Linked DNA regions of Notamacropus eugenii. The protein of the gene in region 2 interacts with the protein of the main gene of each other region in a pairwise test. Links are inferred from orthologs where the notes say so. Each region holds a gene or a part of one and is shown on either strand. Other genes may lie near its edges.

Region 1 (7,194 bases), on a different chromosome or scaffold from region 2:
GCAGGGACTCTTCTGTTTTTGTCCTGAGGTGCCCGATGAGGGTGGGGGGAAGAATAAACATTGCACCAGGGCTTAATGTGTGCCACGAAGGAGGGGGGGGGGTAAGGAGCAAGTGAGGTGACCACAAGAGGCCAGAGGGCAGGTGAGTGGGTAAGACAGTGGGACCAGGCAGGGAAAGGCAGGGGTAGGTGCTCTGGCCTACATCATGACACACACTGGTGCAGAGAGGCTGGAGTAGGAAGGGGGGGCCCTTGGCATGCCTGGTGAGGGGCTGGTAGGCAGGAGGAAAGTGCAGATGCCACAAAGGACTGCTTCCTCAGCTCTTTCATCTGGGGGGCTAAGGCCCCAGGAGAGCCAAGGGCAGCATTTAAGGGGACTGGGACAGGAGCTGGGCTGGCTGGTTCCTATCCTAACTGGCAAAGAGGAGGAATTGTCAGAGTCCCCAAGGGGGCCAAGGTCACTGGGGAAGCTTCCTCATTGAGGGATCCCCTCCAGCCAGCTCTTCAGATGCCTTTGGCCCAGCCCCCCTGTACATTGCCTGGTCAGAGACAGATCAACCACCCCCAGGGGCAAACACACCCCTTCCTCACCCACATAGGCCTTTCCATCCCCCAGGTCCCCTTGCCAGCCCAGTTTAATGAGGCTTCATGGGTGGGGAGATTAACCCCTTGACGCCAGGGAGGCTCCGCCAGTGGGGTACACACCCCCATCTTTGGGCTCCCTGCAAACCCCACTCCCCCAAATTATAATCATCCTCCTAATTGTCAGGGCTGGCCATGAGTAGCCATCTCTGATGCTTTTTACAAGCTGTAATTAGTGCCCATATTTGGCTGCCTCCTTCCTGCCCACCCCACCCCCACCCTCCAGTAGGTGAACTTCCACTCTGTGGAAGCCTCTGAGGGCTTGAGGCCCACTCTGCCTCATGTTCTGGTTCTCCAGGGTCCTGATAGGTCCTATTGTCCATCCCTCTGGCTTTTCAGTGGGCCAGCTGCCCTCCAGCAGGCTCCAACCTGTATGCAGGTTTTTCTAGTAGAGGCATGCCACCTGGATCCCTCCTTTTCCCAAATAAGGTTCCATGGAGAGCCAAAGGGTTTAAGGTCCCTGATGGGGTGACTTTCCCAACCCCTGGGAGGGGTCCTGAGGGGCTGGGGCTTCTTGATTTGTCTCTGGGTGGGACTATGAATTTCTTTGTGCCCCAGTGGAACAGTGAAGGAAGCAGGTGAGATCAGAAAGTGAGGGAACCCCAGCTTAACTCAGAGAGCTGGAGAGGATGTTAGCCTCTCCCACAAGTGTCACCCTCTCCAAAACTGTTCCCCGACTAGAATCTGACTGGGGATTCCTCTGGGGAAACTCCACCAGAGGAACCCACGGTTTTGAGAGAGCCAACATCTGGACTCCTTTCCTTCCCCAGAACTAGCCCTGACACTGTCCCCCTTCCCTTCAACCAGACCCCTGGGCTGGAGCCTCCTGTGTGTCTTGAGGACCCCCAGGAGCTCCTTTTCATCCCCCTCTGGGTGGGGCCAGGGATCCCCAGACTGAGTCAGTCCAAGGCTTCCTAGTGAGTCAGAGAATGGGCCTGGAGTCTGGGCACGGCCTTGGGCCTCCTGCCCTTCCACCCTCCCACGCCCTAGAACAGCAGTTACCCTGCCTCTCCTGTGACTGGCAGCCTGTGGCTCCCCCTCTGCCTCCCTGCAGCCCCTCAGACCTGGCCCAAGAGACCCCCCCTCCTCATCCTGGTCAGTCGGTACCTCTGGGGCTGTCTAGGCCTGTACTGGTTGCAGAATCCATCAGGGGACCGGCCAGGGAGCCGTTGATCCTCGAAGGCTGACCGAGCTGGAGCATCCTGGCTCGGACCTGTTCCTGCACCCGGGCCACCTTCAGCCGCTCCCTCTCTGCCTCCAAGGCCTCCTTGTTCTTCTGGTCCAGCTGCAGGTCTGAGGGCAAGGCTAGGGAGCAGACTCCTGCCTCGGGCTGCAGGGCAGAAAGCAGGAAATTACTGTCTTGCATGGTGGCAGGACCAGCTGGGGCTTCAGACTGGGACTGGGTCTGGAGCTCAGCAGAGCTTGAGCTCTGGCCGGACCTCCCTGCCCTGCATCACCCTCAGCCCGGTCCTGGGCCAGTGGGTCGGTCAGTCAGCTCAGTTCCGAGCTGTTCCTGCCAGCCAGCCAGCCGCGCCCAGAGAGAGACGGCCGACCCCGCCCAGGCCTGAGCTCACCTGAGGGCGGGGATACCTGGGGGTAGGCCGGGGAGGGAGGAGCCACCAGACTCCTTAAGGTGGAATTCCTGGGGAAGGAATAGGCCCTACCCAGCCCTCAGGCCCTAGTGACCCTACCCCTGAGCCTCCTCCTCCCTCTACCCTCCATCCTGAAAGGCTGTGGAGATTGGAGGCCAGGGGAGGTCCCAGAGCAGGGGCTGGGCTGGGACGCTACTGGGACCGGACAGGGCAGGATGGGAGGTAACCAGTTATTATAGATGTTGCTCTTGGGGGTGGTGGGAAGGGTGCTGACTGAGGCTGGCCTACTACTAACTCTCTATTTACCCAACGCTTTCCCGAGGGCTCATCTGTTGGCCCAGAGTAGCCTGGCATCTCTCCAGCTGTGCCGCTGCTAGGCAGGAGATGGGCCTGGGGCCAAATCTATGGAGGTCAGTCACCTCTTTCCCCCTTTTTGGACACCTCAAGAAATGGTGGGCTTAATGGGAGGCCAGGCCAGGAGGTGGGGCTGAGTGTCCAAAGACTCTTCTGGGTCATTCTTGGATGGAAGAAAGGATGAGTTCACTCTGGACTAAGGTTAGGTTGGAGTTATCTAGAGGGCTAAGGTTAGCCTCTTATGGTGGGAGTTGTGGGGTTCATTTCATCCCTTATTTTCATCAATCACATTCCCATTTTCTCTCTTACTCTCCGTCTAGTCTAACAATTTGGGGAGCTTTTTAGTTATTCAGACACCCTCCTCCAAGGTTCTCTTTGGGAGCTGAGCCTCGATGGAAGATGACTGCTGTTTGGGGCATCTAGACACCCAAGGTCCAGGGGAGATGAGGGGCATGCTCCCTCCTGGGGCCCAAGTTTAGTCCTCCAGTTCAGCCACTCCTGGCTTAGTGATGTGTGTGTGTGTGTGTGTGTGAGAGAGAGAGAGAGAGAGAGAGAGAGAGAGAGAGAGAGAGAGAGAGAGAGAGAGAGAGAGAGAGAGAGAGAGAGAGAAAGAGGGACAGAGAAAGAGAGAGAGAGAGAGAGAGAGAGAGAGAGAGAGAGAGAGAGAGAGAGGAAGGGAGGGAGAGAAAGAGATGAGAGGGAGACAGGCCTGGGCAAGCTTGGGGGGCTCTGGAATTCTGATCCAAGAGGCCTCTCCACTCAAACCCATGCCCCACCTCCAAACTGGGCTGGTGCCAGCGCTGCTGCTCCTGAGTGTGACGTGGGCATAGGATGGGAGGAGCAGGCTGGTGACTCAGGACGACCAGCAGAACACAAGTCCACACTAGTAGGGGTGGGGCGGGTGGAGCCCAGGCCTCTGGGACCTAGCATTTCAGGCACCAGAAATACATTAGGGCTGCCCCTTCCCATTTGGGGGGTCATGCCTCCCTGACCACTCCCTGAGAACCTGGAATTACAGGTCAATCTATGCTCTGAGGCTCAGTCAGTCCAAGAAGCCCACAGCTGCTGGGCTCAGATACTCAATAGCTTCATCTTTCAGTCTCAGTTTCCTTCTCTGTCAAAAGGGGTCAACACTACCTGCTGGACCTACCTCCCAGGGTTGGCATGAGGAGAGCTGGAGGAAGTCAAGTAAAGAACTGCCCCCTTGCAAGTATGAGGAACATGAGACTGAGACGAGGGGAAATGGCCCTCCAGCAGTCTCCCTGACTTCTGGTCCCACTGCTTGGATGGCCCTTTCAATCTTCCCTCCCAGAGAATCTCCCAGTCCCAGCTTAAGTGCCCCTGGGGTGGCCTTGGATCACTTGGCAGTCTAGCCAGACATTAAAATCTTCAGCGCCATCCACTATGGAGAACCCCCCATCCCTGTCAGTCACTCTCCTAACCAACCTGTGGTCCTATTATCAGGCTCTCTGCCAGTGACCCTGGGCACACACTGATCCTCCAGAGAGATGACCTGCCCCACTCCCAGCCCTGATACACCCCCACCTTAAGCCAGAGGGGAATGGGGGAAAAGATGGGGGTAAGTAAGCGGGGGGAAGGTCAGCAGTGAGTTGGAGGAAGCAGAAACCTACCTTGTCCATCTTGCAAAATCTGCTCATCTCTTTGTCCATCCTTGGGGTAGGGAGAATCAAAGTCCTTCAGCTCCTCTCCTGGACTAGCCCCAGCCTGGGATCCAGGTCTCTCTTGTTGCTTGGATTGTGGGGGGATCGGGGTGGGACCAGGTGGATCCTGCAGCCTGGGCAACGCCCTTTGCCTTCCCCTTTCTCGCTGATCCACCCAGTTGCTTCCATCAGAGACTTTGTATTTCTGGTGGAAAAAAGTCTTGGAGACAAGTTTGTACGGAGCTGTAGCTCTCTGGGAGAACCACAGCCTGGCACCAGCAGGCCCTCCTGGCACCATCTGCATCTTGCCAACCTCCATTGGGTGGTTCCTGCAGGCACTGGGTTGGGTCTCCTCCCACCCAGAGAATCCAGGAAACCTGGGGCCTGGGGCTGAGTGAGGGGAGGGAGGATAGTGGGAGACCTTCCCTGGAATCTGATTCAGGACACCTCATACATTCTCAGCCTCCAGCCTGGGCAGCTGGAGCTCAGAGCCCCATGGGCAGATGAGGTACAGAAAGGGAGATGTAGGTGCAGGTTGGGAAGGGGCAGGGGCTGCAGCAGTGGAGAGGCAGCAATAGGGTTGGATTATGGACACCCTGAGCAGAATTGCCGGAAGGCTAACCTCCTGATCTTCCAAAGGGCAGAAAAGACTCACTCTCCAGTGTTGATCTAGGATGTCGGGAAAGAGCTGCTTTTGACATTTGGAAAGGGCAGCAGTGGCTGATAGCAAGGCAGGCTATGGCAGCAGGCTTCAGTAAGAACAGGTCCTGCTGGAGGAACCACATTTCCTTTGGGACAAGCTTACCAGACTGGTAGTGCAGCACAGAGATGCTGGGGATCCACTCTGCCAGGATTTCAGCAAAGAATCTGTCAATCTCTTGTGGAGGCAGACACTAGACAGTTGGCTTTGGGTAAGATGGCTGTCTGGGTGGACTGCTCAGCACTTACATCTGCCAAACCTTGCAGCTGTCACCAGATCACACCAAAGAGGGACCAAGAAATCCACTGAAAACTGCAGTGGGTGACTTCTTCCAGTCCAACATGGCCGCAGTCCACCTGAAGGGGCTGCCACTGGCAATGTTGGGCAGGGAAGGGAGTCTGCACCTGTAAAGTGCCTACTATGGGCCAGGCAATGTGCTAAGTGCTTGATAAATATCTCATTTGGTCCTTACAACCACCCTGGGAGCTGTGGTAGTCTCTCCATTTTATAGTTGAGGAAACTGAGGCAGACAGAAGTTAAGTGACTTGCCCATGGTCACACAACTAGCATGCAGGTCTTTCTGATTTAGGGTTAGAATCAGAGTGTATTTAGGGTTAGGGTTAGAATCGGCTAGGCCTGATACTCTATCCACTGAGCCACCAGCCTGTGGGTATCTTCCCAGTGCAATGAGAGATGGTCCAGGAACACATGAAGCCTGTAAGGTTTTGTGTTTGAGGGCATCAAGAACAAAAGACTCTCCAAAGAAAGCCAATGAGTGGGGACTTTGGAAGCCCAGGGAATCAGGAGGAGGCAGCAATCAGTGTGGTATCATAGCACTCAGATGGGATACCTCAAACCCAGGGGCTCTGAGATTCCTAATGCTGTGCTGAGATGGGGAGGGCCCTGAAGATCTAAGAGGTAGAAGATAAGCCCAAAAACCAGGGGACCATCTAGGGCTGAGCACCCCTCCCAAAGGCCCAGCAGGGGATGGAGTCTGGCTCTGGAACTAAAGCCAGAGAGATAAGAAGCAAAGAAAAAACTGACCAAGATTTTTTAAAAAGTATTTTAGATCTGGAGACCTTCCCTCCAAAGGAGTGACTTTATAACAACTACAAGCAGAGACTTAAAGAGAAAAAATGGATTTTTTTTCCAATACCAATATGAATACCGAGATAAAAATAAAATGAAATACAAAATGAAATTAGAATGTTTAAATAAAGAAATGGAAGAAAAAATGACTTAGAACAGAAAGTAAAAATATGACCCAAGAAATAGAGTGGAATGAAAACTAGACTAGACCAAAAAGAAATTAATGACTCCAGGATTATATCAAAAGATTTTAAAAATAGAATAAAATGTAAGATATCTGTTATAAAAAACACAAGTAACCTGGAAAACAGGTCAAGGAGAGGTAATTCATAAACAAACAAATAAATTTATAAATGGAAACTGCCTTTTTGTTCTATTAGTTCTCATCTATTTTTTAAAAAGTGGGTATATTATAGATAGAAAGAATCCAACTAAAGAAAAAGTCCCAGGACTATTGTAGCCCAAATCCAAAAAGTCCTTGTGTCAAAGAAAAAAGACGACAAGAAATCCAGAAAAAAGTTGCTTGTGTCCTACAGTCAAGATGATACAAGACCTGGCAGCTTTTACCATAAATGCAAGGAGATGCTGGAATATAATATTCCAAAAAAGAAGAAAAAAAATAGGACTAGAAAGCAAGAATAACATCCTGAAAAGTGAAGTTTAATCTTTTAAAAAATTTTTTTATTTTTAAAAATGTATTTATTTTTAGTTTTCAACATTCATTTCCACAAGATTTTGAATTCCAAATTTTCTCCCCATCTCTCCTCTCCCCCACCCCGAAACACCATGCATTCTGACTACCCCTTCCCCCAATCTGCTCTCCCTTCTATCACACCCCTCCCTTCCCTTATGCCCATCTTCTCTTTTTTCTTGTAGGACAAGATAGATTTCTATACCCCATTGCCTGTATTTCTTATTTCCCAGTTGCATGCAAAAACAATTCTCAACATTCATTCCTTAAACTTTGAGTTCCAACTTCTCTCCCTTCCTCCCTCCCCACCCTCCCCACTGAGAAGCCAAGCAATTCAATATAGGCTATATATGTGTAGTTTTGTTAAAGATTTCCATAATAATCATATTGTGAAAGACTAATTATAATCCCCTCCATCCTATCCTGCCCCCTATTTTTTCTATTCTCTCTTTAGACCTTGTCCCTT
Region 2 (8,081 bases):
GACATCCCTAGTTTTTCTAAGACTAGAACCCAAGTCAGTCAGTCTTTTCATCAGTGAATATTTATTAAGAGCTTCCTATGTGCCAGACACTGTGCTAAGCACTAGGGATACAAATGCAAAAACATGGTAGCTGTCGTCTAGAAGCTTCCATTTTAGTAGTCATCTGATATCAAATTCCCCATTCTTTCACTACATGATGAGTAAATGAATCATCAAAGAGCTCTATCTGCTCAAAGAACTTTGGTGCTATTTCTGTCTTTTAAACCTTTAAAATTTGTTCTGCATGCCTGGTTATTTAAGCTTTCCTCATTGACTTGTTTTTCCTTGTGTAGTTAGTTCGGTTGAACTCTTGAATGATTTTGGATATCATTTGAGAAGCTCTTTGGTGTGGGAGGCCTTGATGTGTAGTTTGATGGACAGCCCATGGAGTTGGTTCAGTCATATGTGTATGCAGATCGACCATGAAACAGGCCCAGAATTGAATAGGAAGAAGAGAATGGTCTGAATTTAGGAAAATGATGGAGTTTTCAACAATGTTTAAGCTGAAGGGCTTTGAAACAATATTTCTTCTTAGTAGCCTTAGTTAGTCAATAAATCAGTCTACAAATATTAAGTACCTACTATGTGCAGGCACAAAGACACAATGAAGGACACAGGCTCTATTCCCAAGAAGCTTACACCCTTGTTCTTCTGGAGATGTTCATTGTGAATTGTGGAATACTACAGACTTTCTAGAATAAAAATTATAGATCACACTAAGTTCAATAAGAAGATATGTGGTGGACAGAACAGATTTATGCAAATTGCATATAAGAATGATGTCATCCAAGAGATATATGTCTGGAGGAGGTAGATGGTTTTATAGCAAGAGTAAAAAAATAATAGATAGGGATGTTACGTGGGGCAGTGTCAAGAGATCATGAACAGGGATCCTATGTAGCTTCTGGGATGAATCCTGTGTGTTACAGGATGGGAATCACATAGGATGAACAGTCAAGAATGGATTTTATCTGAACTGTTGGATGGAGTAACTGTATTAATGTACCTGTATTAATGGAATATCTGTATTAATGAGATTATAGATCTACTGAAGTATTGAAGCATGCACAATTTCCACTAGCTCCACCATAATGCCTAATGAGTTAAGCAATTTGATGTGCAAAGTCTAACAGGGTATTGATGTTGGGCTTTCAGCGTGACCATAAAATAATAACTGGTTCATGATGAGATAACTATTTCAACTATTTAACAGACTCAGCATTGAACACACAACCTTCATGAGGGAAATGTCAATGTTGCAAGAGCTATTTTCTAATGTAGTCAAACATGGTGGAGAAGGGCTGTGTTTTACCTTATGGTTTCATTCTGTTCTCTTCATTCTGGATGGAAAATGCATGGAGGAAAAGGATGATTAGAAATGAGTTCAAAATTCTGTCAAGAAAAATATTCAAAGCAAATATCACTGATAAAGGTCTGATGTCAATGATATATAGAGAATTGATACAAATATAGAAAAACAAGAACCACTCTCTTACAGACACGTAGTAAAAAGATATCATCTTTTCAAAAGAAGAAAAGTAAACTATCAACAACTCTAAGAAAGAATGTTCTAGAATGCAAATAAGAAAAAAAAAGAATTGAAGCCACATAGATCTAACCTCATATCCATCAGACTGACAAAGATGAATCGAATTTTTGTTGGAAGGCTTGAGGGAAGATCATCATGCTAATGTTCCCTTGGTGAAACAATTCTTTAGCCAATGAATTTTTAGAGTAGGACACTGAGTCTAAGTGAGGTTAAATGATTTTTTAAGGTCATTCACTTGAATTCTTTGATTCTAAGACAGAAGAGACCATATATTACAGAACATACAGTGCAAGAATGGCAAGTACTTTATATCATAGAATATAATATCTTAGAATACTGTTCAAGTGTGTACAGAGCTGAACTTGGAGTCAGGAAGACCTGAATTCAACTAGCTTTGTGACCCTGGGAAAGTCCCTTAACCACTCTTAGATTCAGTTTCTTCAGTTTTAAAATGAGGATAATAATAGCACCTATTGATTGTTATGAATATTAAATGAGATAGCATATGTAAAGTGCTGTACATACCTTAAGGTACTATGTAAATTTTATTTTTATTATTTATGATTATGATATATACTTTCCACTCAGAGATGGAATAAATTTAATAACAGAGCCTAGATTGTTAGACCAGAAGGGCGACTTAGAGATCTCTTAGTCCTTCACATGGAAATTTCTGTAAGTACTTAATGAGTTCTAGAGAGACTGTGACTTGCCCAAGATCATATAGCCATTTAGTGATGTAACTGAGATTAGCCCCTTGGGGCACCTGATTTTTACCTCAGGGTACTTTTCCATATACAATGCTGCCTTTTAAAATTTTTTCATGAGAGAAGATTTTTACTCTTGAAATCCTGAATGGGATAAATCTCCATAAATCACTCTTTCGAAAAGGCAAATTGTAATGGTCACATTGTGTCCTGCTTCTTGGTGCTGGTATGAATATATTTCACTTACTACAGCATTATAGAGTTCTTCAAATATACTCTCCAATGATTAAATGATGGGAAATGTGGACTAGGGTTACTGAATGTAATTGAGAAAAATGACAAAGTGTGAGTGGCAGAAAAGACGAGGAAAAAAACCAACCATCTGCTAAATACAAGAAACATATATAAAAATAAAGACACATACAGAATGAAAATGAGAGGCTGGAATAAAATTTGCTATACATCAGATGATTCCCCCAAAGCATAAATTGTATAATCATACTATCATTTTAAAGAGGTAAGAAAATTCACAATGTCAAGAGAGATAAATACGGAAATCACATTATACTTAAAGGAATCACAGGTCATAAAACAGCATTAGTATTAAATATACATACACTCATTGGTATAGCATCTAAATTAAAGAAATATTATGTGAATTATGGGTGTGTATATATGTATATACATATATATTAGAATAATTGTAGGGGATTTTAAAGATACTCTCTTAGAGCTAGCTAAATCAACTGAATGTGAAAGAAAAAGGAAAATATAAAAAACCTGAACAAGTTTTTGGAGAAATTAGATTTGAAATATTATAGTACTTGCTGAATGGAAGCATTAAAGCATACACATAATTCTTAGCACTGTGTGACACCTCTTGACAAAGACAGACCACATGCTAGGGCATAGACAAATTATAAATAAATATCGAAAAAGAATATAAACACCTTGAGGGTAGAGACTGTTTCAGTCTTTGTATCTCCAGAACCAAGTACAGTGTCTGGCAGAGTGCCTAGCATACAATAGATGTTTAATAAATGCTTGTTTACTGGTGAAAAAGAATTAGAGGAGTTAAAGTTAGCTATGACTTAGCAACTCAGCGTTTTAGAATAACTCAGAAAACACCAAATATGTGAGTGAGTTAAATCAATGTGTCTACCTCCCCAGGAAATCCTAGTAAAAAAGAGTTCCCATAACCATGATTTACCAACTTTTTACTCTTCCCATTTTGTGTCACTATGACAAGGTTGGAGACTAATCACACAGTAAGGGGAAAAATGTAAGGGTTACCCCAAAAGCTAAGGAAAAGCTTTTCAAATCCAGTGTTTACTATTACTGAGTTTCTGAGTTGTTAATTACTGGAGATGGAGGATGAGCAAGACAGTGAACTAAAGAGAAGGACAATTGTCTCTCTTGGATTGTCACCAGGAAATTGTGTGATTCTTTTAAGATTTTTCCTGACGCAAAAGTCCATCTTTTTTTTTTTTAACATCAATATTCTTTTGATGAAATGGATAATTTCATAAGAAACTGGGCAGAACTTCACAGTTTCACTGATTCAGAAGAAAATAAGCTGATTTAGGAGAACATTTTGTTCAATGGAAGCAACTTTAAAGAGAGAAACAACTGCAAAAGACCCTGGAACTCAATTCTAAAAGAATGAAGATGAATTATGCCACTCACCTCTCTGTCTTCAGAGGTGGCTATTGTGTGAATTTATTTTGCTGGAATATGTAAATATTAAGAGATTTAAAAATATTTGCTAAATGGAGGAAGGTGATAGTGGAAAGGGCAGATGAACAAAAATATCATTTGAAAAATAAAATAATAAACTAAAAAAAGTAACACCCAGCATTAGCGTTCTTTCACCATCATCACAACTGGCCATGACTTTGAGTCTTGAATACCACAGTTTCAAAGAACTGAAGTAGTGCATAATCCAATGGAGGGCATGAGTAGGTTCTAACACATTGGAAGTATATTAGAAGCAGGATAAAAAATGTCATCAGAGAGAAATAGGACCTGTAATGTAGGTAAACAGGTCATGAACTAAGAGCAAGGGATAATATTGGGACAGCCTGCATGTTTCTTTGGTATCCATGCAATGTCAAGAGACCTGGAGGAGGACTTCTCCAACTTTGGAGGATTTCTGGGACGACATGCCCAAGAGTCAGGAATGATGACCAGGAATGAATGGGTTGTGACTGGCACCACCAGAGGCAGTAAGCATCTTGATCAGATCATAGACCCACTGAATACTGAAGCATTGATTTCAGAGGTTTTCAGTAACCAATGGCAGATCAGTAAATCCTTTCCCTCTCCTGGGCACCCTGACTGACTTCTACTAAAAGTCATTTGCAGTATAATTTACACTCTGATAGAATCTGGAGCCCTACAGTTAGCAGACCACTTTTACCTTTCATTCCTCTTGCATATCAGGTGGTACCTCCCTGTCTAATTGACTGTCCCAGAACTTTCAGCTTTCTGGCTTGCTGTGAAATGAAAACCCCCATCCAAAGTTCACCTCAGGCCTTGGATCACCATAAACACAGGGAGAGCCCTCTCCAGCACAACTTGCTGGCTTTGCATGTTTTCCATCGGCATATTGCTTTAAGAGGGCCCAACCCCCAAAGCAGCAGCCACTGTGTCCTGTCAGTCATCCTGAAATACACTAGGGTGCTTGTCGCCTGTTTGCCTACACATGCATCACAAGCCAAATTCTGAGCCCAGCGGTGGGGCCGAAGTTCCAAACATAAGCGATTGCTTAGGCAGCAGGCTTAGGAGCTGTCTGTGGCCAAGTAAGTGTTTGTGTCCTGGGGTCTGACCGGTTGGTGAGTGATGGCTGGGCTTGTCTCCACTTCTTTTGAAGTCTTAACTTTGAAAACACATTTTTTTTCCTCCTGTCAAGTAAACTCTCACCATTGTAGATTGTCTCTGAGCCGCACCTTTTGATGAAAGGTTCTGAGGAGAAAGAAAGGGAAATGGCATCTGTCAGGTAGCATGTAGTCATCTGCTGTGGTGTCTGGGCTTTTAGAGTGATCCCCTCTTCTGGGCAGTTCTGGGGGTAGTTCGGAGACACAAAATGCCAGCCTGGAGATTATGAGCCCCTCCATGCCATTTCTGCTGTGGTGGGCACATTTAGAGGGCTAGCATCAGTGCAGTTCAAATGTGGAGAATCTTTAGGAGAGATTTCTTTGAAGTGCTGAAAGAAAAACTTGTCCTATGCATATAGTGATAATAATCATAATAGTACAGAGAGATTACATTAAAATAATGCTTCAAAGTTTTCAAAACACTTTGTGTGCTTTATCTCATTCATCCAAACTATAGAGAAGCTGAACAGTAACATATTTGAAACATTTCCACTGTGACTCTGAAATATTATATTTTGAGTAGGTATAATTCTGGGAAGTAGTGTATTAGACCTGGATAATATAAGTAAGACACTTGGCAAAACTGAAAGTTCTGTATGTGTGTCAACTATTATTATACCCCTTAGTAATGTACTCCATGTTTCAAGATTCTATTGCAGACTTCTGGATTTGAAGTTATATGTGGATTTTTTTAAAAAGTTTTTTTCACCTAAATTTTTTTCCTCTTTATATTTTTAAATCAGGCAATATTGATTGTCAAGAATGAAAAAGGAGAAGTGAAAGAAGTTAGTGAATTCAATGCTTACATTTCCAATGTAGGTTGAATATAGTTCCCAGGCAACCAAGACTTGTCCATTTCCTCTTGTTCTGGTTACCTTTAAGTGGAATTCATAAAGGGGCTACATTTTTTGTCATGTAAATATCACTAGATACCTGCAACACCTAGACACACTGTGGAATAGAGGATAGAAGTTGGACTTGGGGACTTGGGTTTGAACCTTCTTTTGGGCTGGTTAACTTTGAAACCCTGGGCAAGTCACCTAATGTTTCAGTGCTTTAGACAGCTCACTGGGGCTTCTGTTCGTCCTAATTCATAGAGAAGATGCAGTCTGGATTGGTGGAGGGACTTTCCCAAGCAGCTGGAGTCACAGATCCTTCTTGAAAATGCGTGAAATTCTCTTTGACGCATTCAAATCATTTGGATGTCATTCTCAGTAAGTATGGTTAATCGTTGCATTAGTTATAAAGAGGAGGAGACTTTAGGGGCCTTAGAGATCAATCTAGTCCAATCCCCTTATTTTGCAAAGGAAGAGGAATCTTGAGAAGTTACAGAATTTGCACAAGGTCACACAGGTAAATATCATGACTCAGTTTCAAACTCATGGCTTCTGACTTTCAATCCAGTGCTCCTTCCATGACAAGGAACCACTACCAAGTTAAGGTTATAAGACAGGACTCAGTTACTTTCCACCTTGTGTTAGGGTCTATTCTTGGCCACCCAAGTAATGGTAAAGGTTATATAGAGGACAAAGTTCAAGGTTGGTACTTTGCAATTTTGTAAAAATGAACCATAAATTCTAGAATGATCATTTAATGATCATTTAGTCCAACCCTCTCATTTTGCGCAAAAGGAAACTCAGCTCTAGAGAGGGGAAGGTCCAGTTATCCTTTCCACATCTCAATTTTCCTTTCCCCATTTTGGTTTCGATATATCTTGGGTCAGCATAAAAAAACAGGAATCTTTTGGCAGTTTTTCAGAAGCTTCAGACAACACTCAAAGGCCAACAGATGACGTAGAAAAAATTTAGTAAGTTAAAAATGCATAAAATATCTGCATAGTATTGTATAATATCAACTCAAATTTTAAAATGAGATACTGTAAACACCCTAAAAAAGAAAAAGAGAAATTCAGACTTTTTCTCTGGTGCAAAAAAGGGAGGACCAAAAGTTTTTACACAGATTTTCCAGATCACAAGGGCACCATTCCTTTAACCCCAGAGATGTGAAAAGGATATTTGTTCAAGGTCCCTTGGAAACTTAGTAAATAGTTGGCAAACCCAATTCTTCTGTCTCCAAATTCGAGGCTCTGTTTTGCTATACCATGCTGAACTCATGCTGTATGAGAACTGGTTGAAAGAGCTGGCGTGTTTAAGCCTGGAAGAAAAAAAAGACTGGGTGTGACATGAAAATTATGTTGAAGGGCTGTCCCCTAGAAGATAAGATTTATTTTCATTGTTCCCTGAGGAAAGAATTAGGATTAGCGGATGGGAGTAGCAAAGAAGCATATTTAGGCTGGAGGACAGGGGACAGTTCCTAACAATGATAGCTGTGCTATCTGTGGAATGGGTTTCCTGAGGAGCTAGTGAGCTTCCCATCACTGGATGTCTCCAAGAGAAGGCTGGATGACTATACATTAGGGGGCCTGAAGAGGGGATTCTTCTGCTGGCACATGTTGGAATAGTTGACTTTTGGTCTCTCTTTTATCTCAGCTTCTGTGATTCTGAGACTGGATTCTTCAACAACTGAAAAATATTTAATGTTTAATTGATTACAGAAACAGCATGGAAAAAGCTCTCTTCAAAGTCGAGGTGAACGATCTTATCTAGTTCTCTAGTAGCTGATAAGTGAAAGGGGGAGGCTCTGGGGACAATCTTCTTCATGACTGACCATGAGTGAAGGAGAGAGTGAAGTTAAGATGAGAAAGAATAGGAAACTGACATTTCCACACAGTTTCCCTAGGAAAGCAATTTATTTGGTCACTTTGAAGGAAAAGAGGGAATCTTTTTCTTTGCTCAGATAAGCAGGACTTTTATTAGTTTCTAATGTATTTGTCAACTGGCCAGAGACAAAGCTGGGAAAGCAAATCTCTGGCTTGGAATTGAAGCTGATGGGTAATTCACTCATGGGCTT
Region 3 (7,628 bases), on a different chromosome or scaffold from region 2:
GGGGTGGTGGTGGTGGTTTAGATGTCTTGTTGCTTCACTGATCTCTCCAGCCTGGGGTAGAGTCATCTGTGCTGATTACAGAGAGCATAGGATGGAAGTGGTTATTGATTTACAATGGAGTCCCTGGAGGAAGCAGAAAAAGGCAGGAAAAGTCTCCATAGCCTCCCTTCCCCCCAACTCTGGCTTTTCTTCAAAGAGCAAATTTTTTCAGAGGTCTCAACTAAGTCACCTCACTGCAATGACAACAGCAGCCTGAATTGATTTTAGGCTTTATCGTTTGCAAAGTAATCTTCTCACAACAATACTATGAGCTGGTATTATTAGCGTTTATTGTGACCAAGTATAATTAGCTCTGTTTTACACATAAGGAAACTGAGGCTGTGCATTACCATAATCATGGGGCTCATCTGTAGCAGAGCCTGAACCCAGAATTTTGGCTTCAAGTCTAAAACTCTTTCCACTTTTCTGCACAGACGCTTAGATCTCATATCAGCACTGAAATAATTTTCCACACCTTAGCTTGAATCTTGTAGTCAGAATCATGAGCAGGCTATTCTGACATGGGGGAGTGTCAAGACCACTGGGAGAGAAAGAGGCCCGAGTTCTAATCCTTGTTCCATGTCTGATGAGCTTAAATAGATCCCATCTTGTCGGTAGACCATTTTTCCTGTACTTTATATTTCTTTGTATCCCCAGCACTTAGCATAGTACCTAGGAGGTGATTAATAAGTGTCTGCTGACTGACTGTAAAATGAAGAGAATTAGCTGATGCTGTGATTCTTCCTTGAGAGTCTCTGGAAGCCCCTGACTTTGGGGTTGGAGGATAGGGGTGGAATGCTGAATCTCCTCCCCACTTGGAACATCAATGTATATATGGAGGGATGTGGGGAGGCAAGCAAATGGATGTCAACTGGTAGTATGGGTGCATGTTAGGACAGGCCTCTTCCCTTGCCTTGCCCAGCTCTGGGTTCTGGTGGGAAGGTGGGGCAGGTGGGATGGGTGGGGCAACTGCTGTGTCAGCTAGAAGAGTCAGAGAAGAAGCAAGTTTAAGAAGCTTGTGTTGTCTCCTCCAGCTCCCCGCTACATTTCCCTTCCCCCTCCCACTATGAGAACCACCTAGGTGTGTCAAAGGATTTCCAGAAACTTCGGGGGGGGGGGGGGGGGGGGAGATCCTAGGATAACAAAGCTTTACATATTGAAGCAGCCTTGGGGGAGAGAAATTTGGTCCTGAACTCCTGAGTGAGTTTTCCCCAACAAGAGACTTCTGGGGATTTTGTGTTAAAAATATAACGAGAACAGCTCAGGCTACCTGGGATGTGTGTTGAGCACAAACATTCTCTGGGATTTCATAACCGTATTCATGAACCTTCCAGATCCATCCCCTCCCCTGAGCCTGTATCTTCCTTTTCTCCCTCCCTTCCCCCTTCCTTCTTTGTCTCTGTTTCTGTGTCTTTCTGCTTTCCCTCTGACATTCCATTTCCACCTACATTTTTCACAGTGAAGTGTTTCTGGAGCCACATCAGTAATTAAGTACCCTCCCCAGTATGGGTCAGACACACCTCACCTACAGTGTCAAGCCACTGGGCAGTGAGACCTAGAGCTTCTCTCACACCTCCCCCCATCCACCCCATCTCTTCAGGCTACTGAGCACAAATCTCTTCTGGCTCTAAACAAGAGGGCTTGGTTGCTTAGGAAATCATCTCTCCCCACTTCTGCATCATATATCCCCCTTCCTAGCCCATAATGGTATCTCTGCTGAGGTATAAACCCTTACAGAAGCTTCAGGTTTCTCTCACTTACCCCTTATTCTGGTATCTTTCACCATGACCATCTGGGAAGTCCTTAGTTATCTAACCCTGTTTCTTGTGATAGACATTTACTATGTGGTTAATCAGGAACTAGCCTGATTCAACAATCCAAGGTCAGGGGTCACCAGACTAATCTCCCCTGGATACTTTTTTATTCTGACCACTCTTTAAGCCTGACCTGAGTTAGAGGGAAATGAAGTGTGTGTGTGTGTGTGTGTGTGTGCGTGCGTGCGTGCGTGTATGTGAATATACATATGCCTGTCTGTGAGTATCTTTCCTTGAGTCTGTGTATGGTATAGAGCTTCATGTCTATCCATATGTTTCCCAGTGTGGGTCTTGACTATTGATTTCTGTGCAGATGGGAATGTGAGTATAACTGTGTATGGGTCTCTATGCCTATGAATGTACAAGGTATGTGTGTATTTAAGTGTGGGTGGGTGGAGTGGAGAGGGGGTTCAAATAGCAAGAGAAAGCTTCAGCACCTTATATGGCCAGAGGCCTCAAATGAAGAGGAGGGGAAGGGGGAAGATAAGAATGAGAAGGGGAGCCTATTCCTTTTCTGGTATAATGGCTGCTAGTCAGGAGATCTCCCTCTCTTACTTCCACAGAAGCTCACTGTCTCCAGACAGTACCTCTACCTGCTCCCCTTCCCCCATACTACTTCCAGTCACTCTTTGGGCACCTCCATTTTCCAGTTACTTTTGTCCCCTGGGGGGCTGACTCCTTTTTATGAGTTAGAGTGAGATGGGAAACCCTTTCCCCCACTAAAAGTTGTAGCCCTAGAAAGCTGAAGTGAGCAGGGGAAGTGAATCCATCCTTTGAAGGCTAATGTCTCAGCAGCCACAGAAGTCTGGACAAGAGGAAATGGATTTAAACCACAGCGAGTGAATTTAGGTTCAAAACAAAACAAAACAAAGCAAAAACTTTCCACATGTTACTAGCACAATTGCACTTTTTCCGAAAGGACTTTGAGAATTTTTTTTCCTCAGAAGGAAAATTCCCTGACTGCTTGGTTTAGAAGCACAGAAATGGATGGCTTGACTGTCTCATCTTTCCCAAGCTCAGTTTGTGTCAAGAGAGAAAGAGAAAAAAAATGTCACTCTTGAAAATCGTTTAACTTCACCATGTTGACAGAAAAATAATCATGATCTCCAAGCTTCTAACAACAACACAAAACAATAAAAGAAATGTGACTTGGGGGATGTAGGAGAGGGGCAAGGTTTCTATAGGAGGAATAGGGAAAAGAGGTCCCTCTTAGTCCAGCTTCTGGGTCTTCTCTTGGCAATCTTTGCTTCTATTTCCATCCATAGTAACACCCTATACTTTTTAGTAAGGAACTGACAAGCTGGGACATGATGTTGGGTGAGACACCCTTGATTTATTGTTGGGGAGAAAGGCACACAATACTGTGTTCTATTCACTCCATTCAGAGATGTTATGTTTTTCTCTCTTGTTCCTGATACCTTTCACCTTCCCCTGCTCCCCACTCTCTGACCAAGTCTGTCCAGTCCTCTCCTTCTTATTGGGTGGGTCATATGAAACAGAGGTAGCCCAAGTAGGAGTGTGGGTGAAAACCAGGACACAGAGTGGGTGTTGGCCTTCAGGAAGGGAAACCCAAGCAACAATGGGGAAAAAAGCCCTTGTCCCCAACCAGAAAAAGTTTATAATTTGGCTGAAGTGCAGAGAGACTGGGTGGGTGAAAGCAATGTAGAGATGAAAATACCCAGAGAGGGAGCCACACAGGCTGAGGGGGAGGGTCCAGGACAGCAGGGCAAAGAGCATTTGGAAGGCTGAAGTGCTTGGCACTGTTGCAAAATCTTTCCTGCCTTCACCCACCTATTATCTCCTCCAGGAAGGGGGTAGGATGTTTGGTTATCAGCTGTTGGGCTGGGTTGGAAGGGACCACTGTGCCTGACATAGGATGCTGAACCCATTGTGAGCCCTTCTAAAAACATCCATTCAATAAATGGCCAGAAAAGAAAAGGCCATGTTTTACTCTCCGGGATCTTAGGATCACCGTGGCGTTCTCTCTCTCTCTCTCTCTCTCTCTCTCTCTCTCTCTCTCTCTCTCTCTCTCTCTCGCCTGCTGCCTGGTTTTCTTTAGCTTCGTAGACTTGTTTCTTCAAAGTCTTCTTTCCACCTTCACCCCATAGGTGGCTTTTCTTGGACTGTTGAGTTTGCATTCAAATCCTCTTTTCACTCAGTCCGAGGTCTTTGCCACCTGATGCTTACTTTTTTGGCCGCGGTGAATAATCCCCTTAAGGGAATTATTTCTTGATGCTGAGTTGGTTAGGCGTCTACACAGACGCGCTGCTTTCCTTCCCTACAGCCTCTCCCCTGACTCACCTGGTAGGACAGGTATGGGGGGAAAGGTGGGAGTAGGTTCTACCTGGTGGAGAGCGTGGGTGGGGCAAGACACACCCCAACCACTCCATTGGTTTCTCCCCGAGGCTTACTGACAGCACCTCACCCATTCACGAGGCAGTATTCCTTCTCTATCCAATAGACGCGGAATTGGGATCGGACCTCGGGCTGGGGTCTGGCCCTAGAGCCGACTGGCAGGGCACGAGGCCAATGGAGAGGCGGTAAACATAGGCAGTCGGGGCGGGGCGGATTCGCAGCTGGGCCCCGCCCCCCAGGGAGACGGGCAGGCCTCGGGACCAGTGACAACGCGGCAGCGGGTGGGCGTCGCCCCGGGGGCGGGGCTCCGAAGGGGAGCCCGAGGCGTGGCTTGGCTGTCAGGTCTCTTCGCCTTTTGTTCGTTTAGGGAGTTGCAGCCGCGGCCAGAGTCCGTAGCAGCCACCGCCCGAGCGGAGCAGATCCTCCGATCCAAACCCAGCCCAGCCCTAGTCCTGCCCGCTGCCCCGAGCCCAAGCCCCAGCCCGGACCCTGGCTACGAGCTCAGGTGAGGGACGCGTGTGGCTGGGACTGGGGCTGGGGGCGACCGTGACTCCGCGCGCGCTCGGGTGCGTGGGGTGGGGGCACCTTGAGGGGCGGGTCCGTGCAGGTGACATTTAGAGGAGGAGAGGAAGGGGGCGCCAATGGGAGGGGGGTTGAGGGAGCTTTGCCCGACTGGGCGGTGGGAGCAAGCGCCTACTTAGAGGGAGTGGAGAGGACGGTCGCTTTTGGAGCATTTGAGGTCTGGGATTGGTGGGTGAGTGGGTAGGGGACAGAAAGGCAATCGGGGTCGCGAGATTTTGCTTGGGGCGGGGGTGTGTGGTGGGTCAGGCTGGCCACTCCGAAGGGGGAGTGGGTTAGTGGAGGACTGAACTGGGTGGGGCTGGAAATGTGGAGCAAGAGATTGAGAGGAGGGTGAGTTTGGAGAGGGTGGATCTCTGTGGTCCTTTTTAAGGAGGGGTGGTGGGCAGCGGGGGCTTGGGAAGGGCTTTGGCTTCGTCCTGGAAAAGTCTGCTGGAGGGAGTGGGAATTGAAGGAGGGGTACGGTGGAGGGGAGGGTCAGGTACGGATACAGCACTGACCTCCCTGGCAGTGGCCTTAGTGGACTGGGATTGAGGGGGAGACTTTGACCTCATTTCGCGTGGTGAGTACATAGAGCATTTTCTCTCCCTCTGTCCAGCTGGGAATTTATAGTTAAGGAAACTTGCAGCTGGGCTGCACTCCCCGTCACCCCCTCAGTCTGCCTCCCCACCAAGCGTCATTCCTGCCCTCCTCTTCCACCCCCACCTCCCCAGGCCTGGGTGGGGCCCTATTGTCTGGGTCCAGTTTTCCGAGCTGTGGGGTCAGTATTCTTGCATTGGAGGCGGGATCTCCCCATTCCTGGTTTGCTGAGCAGGTGAATTTGGTGTTAGGCATAAATTTGGCACTGGGCATTAAACGGATCCCGGGTCCCAGGGAGTTAACATCAAAGTCCTAGATTTTCTTCTCTCTAATATGTGTTCAGGTTGCCGGGAGAAGAGGGTAGCTTATCTTGTTTTAGGGTATCTGACTTATTGTTGAGACTTGGAGAGGGCTTCAGAGAGGAGATGGTTTAATGAAAGGTCAGAAAGCTGCGGGATGGGGAATGGGGACCAGGAGAGCAGGAAGTTACTGCTAGTGTGTTCTTGCTGTGCTGTCATCTGACATGTATAGCTTAGAGACTCTGAGGACCATTTAGAGAACACCTGGTTCAAATACCTCATTTCACAGACTCTTATAACTAGTTATGGAAGGTTTATATGGGCCTCTGTTTGCCTTAGTTTCCTTAAATGTATATTGGGAATAGCACTTGCCTCGAATGGTTGTGAGGAATAAATGAAATATTTGCCAAGTGCCTAGCACAATGGTTGGCACACAGTAGGTGCTATATACATGTTTATTCCAACCCTCACCTGTCTTGCCCTTTGTCCTTTTTTTCCTTCCCTCCTGACCTTCGTCCCATCTTTTGGAAAGTTCATCTAGCAAGAAACTTTCTTGCTGTTCAGTCCTGTCTGACTCTTTCATGATCCCATTTGGGGTTTTCTTGGCAAAGATACTGCAGTGATTTGTCATTTAATTGTCCAGCTCATTTTACAAATTAGGAATATGAGGCAAACAAGATTAAGTGACTTGCCCAGGGTCACACAGCTAGTAAATGTCAGAGACTGAATTTGGGCTCAGCCTTTTGAGTCCAGATCCAGGGCTTCATCCATTGTGCCACCTAGCTTGCCCAATAAACTTTCTAGGGGGAATCACAGAGTCATAGATCTAGAGCCAAAGGACCTTCTGGGCCATGAAGTTCAGCTCCCTCCTCCTCAAGACCATCTTAACTCTGGACAGACCTCAGAATAGAGAGCTCAGAGTTGATCCTTTCTGATCTTATCCTTTCTCCTCCCCACTTCCATTCTGTTTACTAATCCCGTGGAGATAGAGGGAGCCCACTTGCACTTTTTTTCCATATCTAGGGGCGCCCCTGGTACCCCTCACCTCTCTTTCTTCCCTATTTCAGGCAAAGCCTTTGTAACCTTCTCCTGCAGCCACTACCCTCAGCCCAGAGTAGGAGATTGAGCTAGGAAAAAAATCCATGTGGGAGATGCCAATTATCTTATATTCTTACCCTGCCTTTTACCCTTTCTCATTCCCTGGTTTAATTATCTACCTCTTAATTGAGGAGGAAGCTAGCAGCAAGCAATAGGACTTGATTTCCACTTGATTACCAAATTATGAAGTTTGCTGAGGCGTGACTACTGCAGATCAGGTTGGGATCCGGGTCTTTTGAGGTACTCCTTGAACAAATCATAGGGTCAGAGGATTTTTACAGCTGGAAGGGCTTTCATCTAGCGTGGGTAGGGTTGGGTAGTCTGGTCCACGCTGGAGAAATGGTTGAAAGTTTCATGACTCCTTGGGTCTTGACCAAGAAATATAGCTCACATTTATATATTGTTTTCAGGTTGACAAAGCACTCTTCTCAATATGACCCTGCCAAGCAGGTAATGAGTGCCAATACTATTATCCCCATTTTAGAGATGAGAAAATGGAGGCTGGGACACGTAAAAGTGGCTGGCCCAGGGTCACATAGCTAGAAGGCAGTTCTGGAGGAGGAGAAAGAGGGTTGGATTTGGGTGTGCCTGAGTCTGAATCCCAGCTCTGCTGCCTATTATATACTTGGTTCACTGTTTGGCAGATCGTTTCAATTCCCCTAGTCTCAGTTTCCTCACCTAGGAAAAAAAAAGAGGATTTTGGACTAGAAGATTTCTAAGATACCTTCTAACCCTAAATACTCATAATCCTTTGTCAGAGATGAGATTTGGACTGAGGTCTTCTGACTACATATATCAGCACTTGTCTACCATATTGCCTCTGAGATTTTGTTTCCTCTTTTCCCTTCCCATACCTCCCTTTATT

What was found.
Region 1: the proteins of CTNNA3 (region 2) and PKP3 interact in a two-hybrid assay, tested with the Homo sapiens proteins (2 studies listed by IntAct). The link is inferred for Notamacropus eugenii from reciprocal best matches to the Homo sapiens genes CTNNA3 and PKP3.
Region 3: the proteins of CTNNA3 (region 2) and JUP interact in binary tests that used the Homo sapiens proteins (3 or more experiments, as listed by UniProt). The link is inferred for Notamacropus eugenii from reciprocal best matches to the Homo sapiens genes CTNNA3 and JUP.

Annotation. Positions count from the first base shown.
Region 1 is NC_092873.1:27,985,369-27,992,562, forward strand, and holds the start of PKP3 (plakophilin-3), read right to left. Parts: upstream 3,059-7,194; 5' UTR 2,588-3,058; coding exon 2,540-2,587; intron 2,117-2,539; exon of another isoform or gene 2,099-2,116; intron 1,972-2,098; coding exon 1,749-1,971; intron 1-1,748. UniProt on the Homo sapiens protein: A component of desmosome cell-cell junctions which are required for positive regulation of cellular adhesion. Required for the localization of DSG2, DSP and PKP2 to mature desmosome junctions.
Region 2 is NC_092872.1:261,306,868-261,314,948, forward strand, and holds the start of CTNNA3 (catenin alpha-3), read left to right. Parts: upstream 1-4,999; coding exon 5,000-5,096; intron 5,097-8,081. UniProt on the Homo sapiens protein: May be involved in formation of stretch-resistant cell-cell adhesion complexes.
Region 3 is NC_092873.1:358,227,336-358,234,963, reverse strand, and holds the start of JUP (junction plakoglobin), read left to right. Parts: upstream 1-4,550; 5' UTR 4,551-4,713; intron 4,714-7,628. UniProt on the Homo sapiens protein: Common junctional plaque protein. The membrane-associated plaques are architectural elements in an important strategic position to influence the arrangement and function of both the cytoskeleton and the cells within the tissue.